Macaca fascicularis: one gene and its partner. The protein of the gene in region 1 purifies or fractionates together with the protein of each later gene. This does not show direct contact. Links are inferred from orthologs where the notes say so. Each region holds a gene or a part of one and is shown in the gene's direction. Other genes may lie near its edges. The genes, in order: DUSP4 and MAPK8.

Region 1 (4,524 bases):
CGAGCTCCGGTGGGAGAGTGCAGGGATGCCCCCGGGACCGGAGGTGAGAGCTCTAGAGAGCAGCTCCGCCTGGAACAAAGGCATGGGGAGAGGGCGAGCTGGGGCGGGAGAGACCCGGCGGGTTCCGCTGCCCTCGCTGCCTGGGTCGGGCTTCCACGCGCGCGCTGGAATGGAATACGCTACTCTGCAGCCTCCGAAACTGCGAGCGAGTCCTGTAACTCCCTTGCTCTGTGATTCTCACTAACAAGACTTGGCAAGATGTCGGGCGAATAATTTTTGGCTTCTGCACGGTCCCCACCGCGTGCGTGCACAAACCCCCAGCCAAAAGCCGCCTCTGGGAAATTAAACGCAAAAGATAAATGGGGATGGGGAGGGCTGTTACGTGACCAGGAAAAAGGGATGCCCAGAAACCTGAATCAGGCCCAGAGCTGAAGTCCTTTCAAAAGGTCATTTTTTTACGGGTACATTTTCCAGGGTCCAGCTCCGCAGCAAATGTGGACCATGTCATTTCCTGAAAGGATAATTCACAACTATGCAAAATAGGGTGAAAACCTTTCCCAAATCCGAAAACCTTGTTTCTCCCCCGACCAGGGTTAAACAAACATCTTTTAGGAAGCGTGGACAGAAATGTAGACGGCTCTCCTCCCTCGGAACACCATTCCGGCAATTAATGCCTCCCTTTGGGTCGTAAAGCAACAAACCCCACACCTCACTCGGATCCTGGGCTTCGGGCGGGAGGACTTTCTCTTTCATCTTCCAAGCAGGGGGTTGCCCACGTTCCTGAGGAAGCTATAAAACTGATTTAATGGCTTTGGATGAAAATCGATCACGCTAATACAAACTACGTCTCAGGAATCACATTTTCAGAAAGGACTGGCCGTGTCGAAAGCGCATGGGGAGTCTGGGGCTAGGAGGTGCCAGGCCCCGCCGGGTGGGCAGCGGCGCTCTGGTCCCCTCTCCACTTGGGTACCCAGGAGAGACCTGCGGGGCTGTCACGCTGGGAAGCGCGAAGGTGCAAAGGGATGAAAGCTCAAACCCGAGCCCCGGCCTCCTCAGCCGGCTATATTCCTTTGACACCGCCCGCCTAGCGGCGAGGTGTAGCGGCGGCACAGGTGCCGGTGTCGGGTTGGAGGCGCGGCGCAGCCTGGGCCAGCGGGCAGACAGCGAAAGGCGCCGCGCGCTCCATTCACAAAGTCCAGGCGCTGCCTGCAGCTCGCGGCGGGTCGGAGGCCGCCTCGCTCTTCCTCTCGGCCTCGGTTTTATGAATGGGCCTGGCGGCGAGCACCCCGCGCCCTGTTTACTCCGCTCTTTGTGACGTCGAGTTCCCGTGACCAGGAGCCAGCGGCCGCGCTCCATTCAAGCTCCGGGGAGGGGGTGGGAGGAGGGGCTGGAGGGGGCGGGGAGTCAGCGCGGGGGGCGGGGGAGGGCGCCGAGCCCGGAATGGAACGGGGCGGGGCCTGGCGGGGTAGTACCTAGCGCCCCCTCCCCCTGGAGCGCGGAGGAGCATTAATAAATCTCTAAGCCTAGGAGGAAACTCTGGCTGGGGTAGTGCGCGGCGCGCCGGGGGAGCGTGGGGAGCGGCAGCGCCTGCGCCGGTGGCGACAGGAGCCGCGCGACCGGCAAAAATACACGGGAGGCAGCCGCCGAAGAGAGTCCGCGGTCCTCTCCCGTAAACACACTCTCCTCCACCGCCGCCTTCCCCTCCGCGCTGCGCGCCGCCCGGCTGGGCACCCGAGGCCGCTCCAACTGCTATGTGACCGCGAGGCTGCGGGAGGAAGGGGACAGGGGAGAAGAGGCTCGCCCGCGGGAGCCCCTGAGGACCAAGTTTGCGGCCACTTCTGCGGGCGTCCCTTCTTAGCTCTCGCCCGCTTCTTCCTGCAGCGTAGGCAGCCCGGGTGCCCTTCTCTTCCTCGCGCGCCCAGCCGCCTCGGTTCCCGGCGACCATGGTGACGATGGAGGAGCTGCGGGAGATGGACTGCAGCGTGCTCAAAAGGCTGATGAACCGGGACGAGAACGGCGGCGGCGCAGGCGGCAGCGGCAGCCACGGCGCCCTGGGGCTGCCGAGCGGCGGCAAGTGCCTGCTGTTGGACTGCAGACCGTTCCTGGCGCACAGCGCGGGCTACATCCGAGGCTCGGTCAACGTGCGCTGCAACACCATCGTGCGGCGGCGAGCTAAGGGCTCCGTGAGCCTGGAGCAGATTCTGCCCGCGGAGGAGGAGGTGCGTGCCCGCTTGCGCTCCGGCCTCTACTCGGCGGTCATCGTCTACGACGAGCGCAGCCCGCGCGCCGAGAGCCTCCGTGAGGACAGCACCGTGTCGCTGGTGGTGCAGGCACTGCGCCGTAACGCCGAGCGCACTGACATCTGCCTGCTCAAAGGTAAACGCGGGCTCCGGGCGCTAGCTGGAGGGGAAATGGAGGGGGTCTTGGCGGCCTGCACCTTATTGGCACGGGAAGGAGGGCCCGGCGAGATTCGTAGTTGCAGGGATCCCCGCGCGCCCTTTTGTGTGTTGGTGTGTACGGGTTTGCGAGGTTTCTGTGCAAGTGAGAGCTTCAAGTCCTCAGGGACAGTGCGGACGGGTTCCCCCGCTCACCTGCAATTCCGCACCGTCCTAGCGAGGCCCCGTTTATTGAGACTAACGGTCCTGGCCTCGAGGATGAAGCGGCCACTCTGCGCGGCCCATCTTGAGTCCCGGGAACAGTTCCCAAGTACCACGGGGCGCGTGGGGACAAGATAGGCCTGTTGGTTTGGCTTGCCAGGGCCCTGCACTGAGCCGGACCTGGAGAATCAGAGAGGTGGGGAAAAGGGTGAAGAGGGGTGGACGCCGAGGTACAATTGGCCCTGCCAGTTTCACTGAAAACAAGACCCTGGCAATGCAGAAAGGAGATTGGGTTGCACACACCGTGTAGAGCGATCTGTATCTGCGTTCCCGCTGCCCAACTCCGAGCTCAGCTTGGAAGGTGGCCAATTCCCGTCCCGGGCTAGATCCAGGCTCTGGGAGCGGGAGGCTGGAGGACTGGGTATCTGGGGGACGCCGGGCGGAACCGGTCCTCTAGCTCCTGCAAATCCGGGCAGCGGACAATGACCACCTTTTGTTCAGCCCGGATTTTCGACTATCTGATGGCGGCGCGTGCCGGATTTTAGCGAGCCCTGGCGAAACTCTTGGCGGCGGGGCTGTCTTGTCACATTTGTAGTCAGACATCCCGGAAAAATCGCGTGCCGTCCGAATCCCTGGAGGGATCGGGGGCCCGCCACACCTGCAGGGCCGGGTGGGTCCGCGGCCCTCGGGCTAGGGAGCGGGCAGGGCGCGTGGGGTCCGGGCGCTCCCTGCCGCGCTGCGCCCCCCGCCTCCCGCAGCCGCATTCCGCGCATTCTTTCGTGCGGGTCGGGTCTGCGCTTCCGAGCCCGGGAGGCATTTCGGACCCCCCCACACCCCATCAAAGAGCCGCTCCTCCCCCTGCAGGCGCCTTCGCCGCCTCCCTCTTTTCCTTTCCTTTCCTTTCCGCTCCTCTTCCGACCTGTCCACCAGGGAGGAAGGGAGCTGGAGGGGGGCGGAAACCTCTCCCCTCCAAAAAACACAACAAAATTGCTCGGTGCTGAGGAGCCGGGTTCGCCCCTGCCGAACAGCGGGGGGCTTTGTTCTCCGCAGTTGTTTCCTGCCCATTTGACCTGTCAGCTGCTGGGGAAACGCTGCTGTTGACCTTTGGTTGAACTGCTAAGGCGATTTTGCTGATTTTTATTTCTTTTTCCGCGGGGGCCGTCTTTTGCTCCTCCAATTGAGCCCAGTCCCCCTCCCTTCTCCCCAAAGCGCTCCAAGAGAAAGTGCCAGGAAGGGGCTTGTCCCGGAAGGCCTGACCGCTGAGCGGGGCCAGGTCCTGATTAGGCCACCAGGGTGGGCTTCCGCGCCATTGTTTGAGCTTGTCGGCGCTAGTGGGAGAGATGAGGGCAATTCCTCTGGGACGCAAGTCCCCTGGAGTGGCCGGGGCTGGCCGGCATGTTCCCCGCACGGCGCTGCCCTCGAGTCCCCCCGATGGAGAGCGCGGGCGCGCCTTCCTTCGCTGGCCTCCAAACCCGGGACCCGCGAGAACACAGGAGGGCTGGGCTCCAGCCCCACGTGGAGTCTGGGTTTGTTTTGTTGTGTTTTGGTTTCCTTCCTGGAAGAAATCCCGAGGGGACCGCTCTAGAGCGGCATCTCCGGGACCTCGTCCCTTGGGCTTCCGGGGTTGCAGCCACTTAGGCCCCGCTCCCGGGGAAAAAGGGATTATTTTTTAAGGTTTATTCCCAGGGCGCGCGGCATTTCCCTGTCCCTCGTGAATCCCGTTGAGAGTCCACCTCCCCAACCTCCTCCGTTTCCTCAGCCAAACCGATTCGAAGCCCTGGAGACTCTGGGCGAGGCTAGGGACTGAGTGGGATAGGCCTCTTGGTAAAATGACAGCCCTCCGGTGTGTGGTGAGGTGCCTGGCCAACGGAAGAGAAGTATTTTAAAGGGCTGTTTCCTCCTGGAGCCTGCACTGCCTCTCGTAGTC
Region 2 (3,808 bases), on another chromosome or scaffold:
TCTTATGGGACATAACCCAAGGTTTTCTCTGGATGGTGGGAAAAAAAATGAGGTTTTATTTTTCTTTAATTTTATATATTTTAATCATATGTATAAAATAATTTTACAGTAATATTTTTAAAACATATGCTTTTAAAATAAAAAATAATCTCAAATTGCTGAAAGTTATTAATAATTTGAGAACCTTTACAAATATATGTACATTAACATCATTATGTTTGCAGCCAGTCAGGCAAGGGATTTGTTATCCAAAATGCTGGTAATAGATGCATCTAAAAGGATCTCTGTAGATGAAGCTCTCCAACACCCGTACATCAATGTCTGGTATGATCCTTCTGAAGCAGAAGCTGTAAGTTATTTTCTTAATGTTTACAGAACATACTGCATTCTTAGAATTACAGTTAGGTTTGGAGGAGACCTTTTAATTTTAAATAAAAATGTAGATACATGATGATGATGTTTTTCTGTTTCTTCATGAAAACTACGTCAAATAAACTAATGAGCATATTTGAGCCCCTCCTACACAAAATAAAGTCACCTCCCACTGTTTTTTGCAATCTTGCCTGGATACCCTAACCAGAGAACTAGGATGTTGAATGCTCTGAGGGAACATCCTAACTCAGTTATAAAAGAAATTACTATATCCAAAGGAAAACGGAATTCTGTGATCTATGATATAAATAAAATGTGGCAATTTCAAGAGCTGGAAGAAAAGAAAAAGACAGTTAAACATTTTTTTTCCTGCAATGAAGGAGTCTTCCTATTCTGTCTATATAAGAAAGTTGATGATTGATCAGTCTTGATCTAATGATACATTTTTATAAGTCATCTGTCTGGCTAATATTTCAAATAACTACAAAGAGTTAAAATACTCCCAGCATACTGACTCAATTATTATTGCCTTGTGTTTTTCAGCCACCACCAAAGATCCCTGACAAGCAGTTAGATGAAAGGGAACACACAATAGAAGAGTGGAAAGGTACATTCATCAGATTCTTAGAGGGAAAACTGCGAAGGAGCTTCTGGTTTTTATATGGTGATTTATTGTCATGTTAGAGAAATTTGTGACATTTTCTGTGCATAACTGAAATTTGTTAATATTAATATTTTTACATAAGTGGACAGTAAGTCTGCTTCCTTCCTTAACTTCTTAAGTTCCCGTTTCCCACCCCAGACACAGACACATTAGTGCTCTCTCTCATGTTTTTCTATGGTGTGTGAACATACAAATGTGTTTAGTGTCTCCCACCTCTCTTCTTCCACCCTTTTAAAATCACATATGGTTGTGTACGATATATGCTATATGTACTTGCTTTGTTGATATAATCAGATATCTGGAAGGTTATTCTGTTTTGGTTCACATATATGCCTCTCTTGCTTTAATAACTGATTAGTGTTCTGCTGTATGAATGTGTCACACTGTATATCCATCTCCCTCTTGATGACCATTTAAATTGTGTCCAGTCTGTTGCTGTTAGAAACAACTCTGCCGTATTCATGTTCACATATGAGAACATACCTGGAAGAAAAATCCTAGAAGGAGATGTGCTGAGCCAAAGGATATTTTTCAGTTATTTCCAAATTATTCTCCAAAGAAATTGTAGTAGTGTACACTTCCATCCATATTGTATAGGAGCCTCTCTTTACCCTCACCCTTGCCAACAGAATGAGTTAATTTTTAATATTTGTAAATCTAATATAGTAGTTTTATTCTATTTTATAAATGTGGCTGAAATTAATCATGCTTTGATAGTCATGGAAGTGTTCAAAATATTTCTTCGAAAGGTCCCCTGAGACATGTGGGCCAGGTAATGTTTAGGTCCCATTTACTTCCATTTGTGTTGTTGTCCTTCAGTGTTTTGACCACTTTTGTAACTGTGTGACTTTGAGTAAATCACTCCCCCTTCCTCCCACCCTCCTACACCGCCCCCTGCATTTTACCTCATCTTAAAATAGAGGCAGAAGACCTGTTATTAAGAGTTGTCTTTAAATCCTGGGAAGCCAAAGTGGACTGGGGAGGTATAAACATGAATAAGTAACCCATCTATAAATGTGTTTTGCTAAGGATGAATTTGATTCTTTCTTAGAAATTGAAGAGATTTAGAGATTGATTTTCTGTGAACTTTGGGAAACCCATGGTTAGCAGAGCCCATGATAAAGTTAAAAAAATGACAGAACAATAAAACTGGATAGAGTCTGCTGCATTTGAATATGTAATATGCATTTGAATATGTATACAGATATAGCTCTGTACTGAATATGTATGAAAGCATTAACCTGATATTTTTACATCCTACTAATTTACAATAGACCATGAAGTATTTTATAGAATCTTGTTTTTTTGTTTTGTTTTGAGACAAGGTCTCACTGTGTCACCTAGGCTAGAGTGCAGTGGTATGATCATGGCTCACTGCAGCATCAAAACTCCTGAGCTCAAGTGATCCTGCTGCCTCAGCCTCCCCAGTAGCTGTCCACCACACTTGGCTAATTTTTTTTTTGAGACAGGGTCTCACTATGTTGCCCAGGCTGGTCTCAAACTCCTGGGCTTAAGTGATCCTCCTGCCCTGCCTCAGCCTCCCAAAGGGCTGGGATTATAAGTCTTAAGCCACTGCACCTAGCCTAATTTTTTTTTTTTTTTAATTTTTGTAGAGATGGGGTCTCACTCTGTTGTCCAGGTTGGTCATAGACTCTTAATAGGCCAGCAGTTGTAAGGCACACCATTATGTGCCACAAAGAAAAAAAAACACTGTCAGTTGTCCAGCACCATTGATTATAAGATGGAGTCAGTTTCAGAGTTTAAACTGAAAAAAAGTACATCTTAAAATCAGTGAGATACAGTGTTTTCATTTGTTTAAGAATATATTTGGGGGTTTTGATTGCTTTAAAAACATTTACCTTTATTCTGTATCTCTTACTCCTAGCCCCAGGTGCATGTCAGTAATTACCCACAGACTGCCTTTTTCAAGATCTACCTAAGAGTTTTAGCTCATAACAGAAAGAAAAATTAATTGCCAAAGCCATTAATTACAGATGGCTTTGCCTAGTTAGTACTCCTAATTAGTGTCGGTTCTTCTGCCTTAATCTCTTTGTGCTTTTTCCCAGAGGAGTGCTATTTTCTCTCTTAAAAAATCCTCATATTGCAAATGTTTATCATTCCTTTTTGTTTCTTTGAAGAAGACCATCTCTTATTCTCTCCTTTATCAGTGCTTTCTATTTTTCTCCTTCCAAGCCTTAAGTTACTATAACAAACAAACTTGTCTCCAGTTGTTGTTCATTCCAACATACTCTCTTGTTTTACCTTATTACCAATATAAATGTCATACTCTGTAATCAGGGATTCTTTGTCAGAATTTTCTTCTTCAGGAATTAACACAGACTCCTTGAAATTCGATGCAATATTTTTTGTTTGTATGTTTTTCTCAGAAGAGGGTTTTACAATTCTCAGAAGATTCCATGACCCAAAGAAGATGATAAATAGTGGTGATGATGTGGCATCCACCATTAAGATTACGTGTGGTGTGCCTTGTGAGTCTGAATGTCTACTTAAGAACCTTAAGAAGGTTTTTTGTTTGTTTGTTTTTGCTTTTTTGTTGTTGTTGGGATGGAGCCTCACTCCATTGCCCAGGCTGGAGTGCAGTGGCGCAATCTCAGCTCATTGTAGCCTCTGCCTCCCAGGTTCAAGCAATTCTCCTGTCTCAGCCTCCCGAGTAGCTGGGACTACAGGCGTCTGCCCCCATGCCTGGCTAATTTTTGTATTTTTAGTAGAGATGGGGTTCCACCTTGTTGGTCAGGCTTGTCTCAAACTCGA

Evidence for each region.
Region 2: the proteins of DUSP4 (region 1) and MAPK8 purify together in Homo sapiens (affinity purification with western blotting; 3 studies listed by BioGRID and IntAct, with this or other methods). This does not show direct contact. The link is inferred for Macaca fascicularis from reciprocal best matches to the Homo sapiens genes DUSP4 and MAPK8.

Annotation. Positions count from the first base shown.
Region 1 is NC_088382.1:32,537,527-32,542,050, reverse strand, and holds the start of DUSP4 (dual specificity protein phosphatase 4), read left to right. Parts: upstream 1-1,538; 5' UTR 1,539-1,943; coding exon 1,944-2,376; intron 2,377-4,524. UniProt on the Homo sapiens protein: Regulates mitogenic signal transduction by dephosphorylating both Thr and Tyr residues on MAP kinases ERK1 and ERK2.
Region 2 is NC_088383.1:57,635,017-57,638,824, forward strand, and holds part of MAPK8 (mitogen-activated protein kinase 8), read left to right. Parts: intron 1-224; coding exon 225-349; intron 350-915; coding exon 916-979; intron 980-3,808. UniProt on the Homo sapiens protein: Serine/threonine-protein kinase involved in various processes such as cell proliferation, differentiation, migration, transformation and programmed cell death.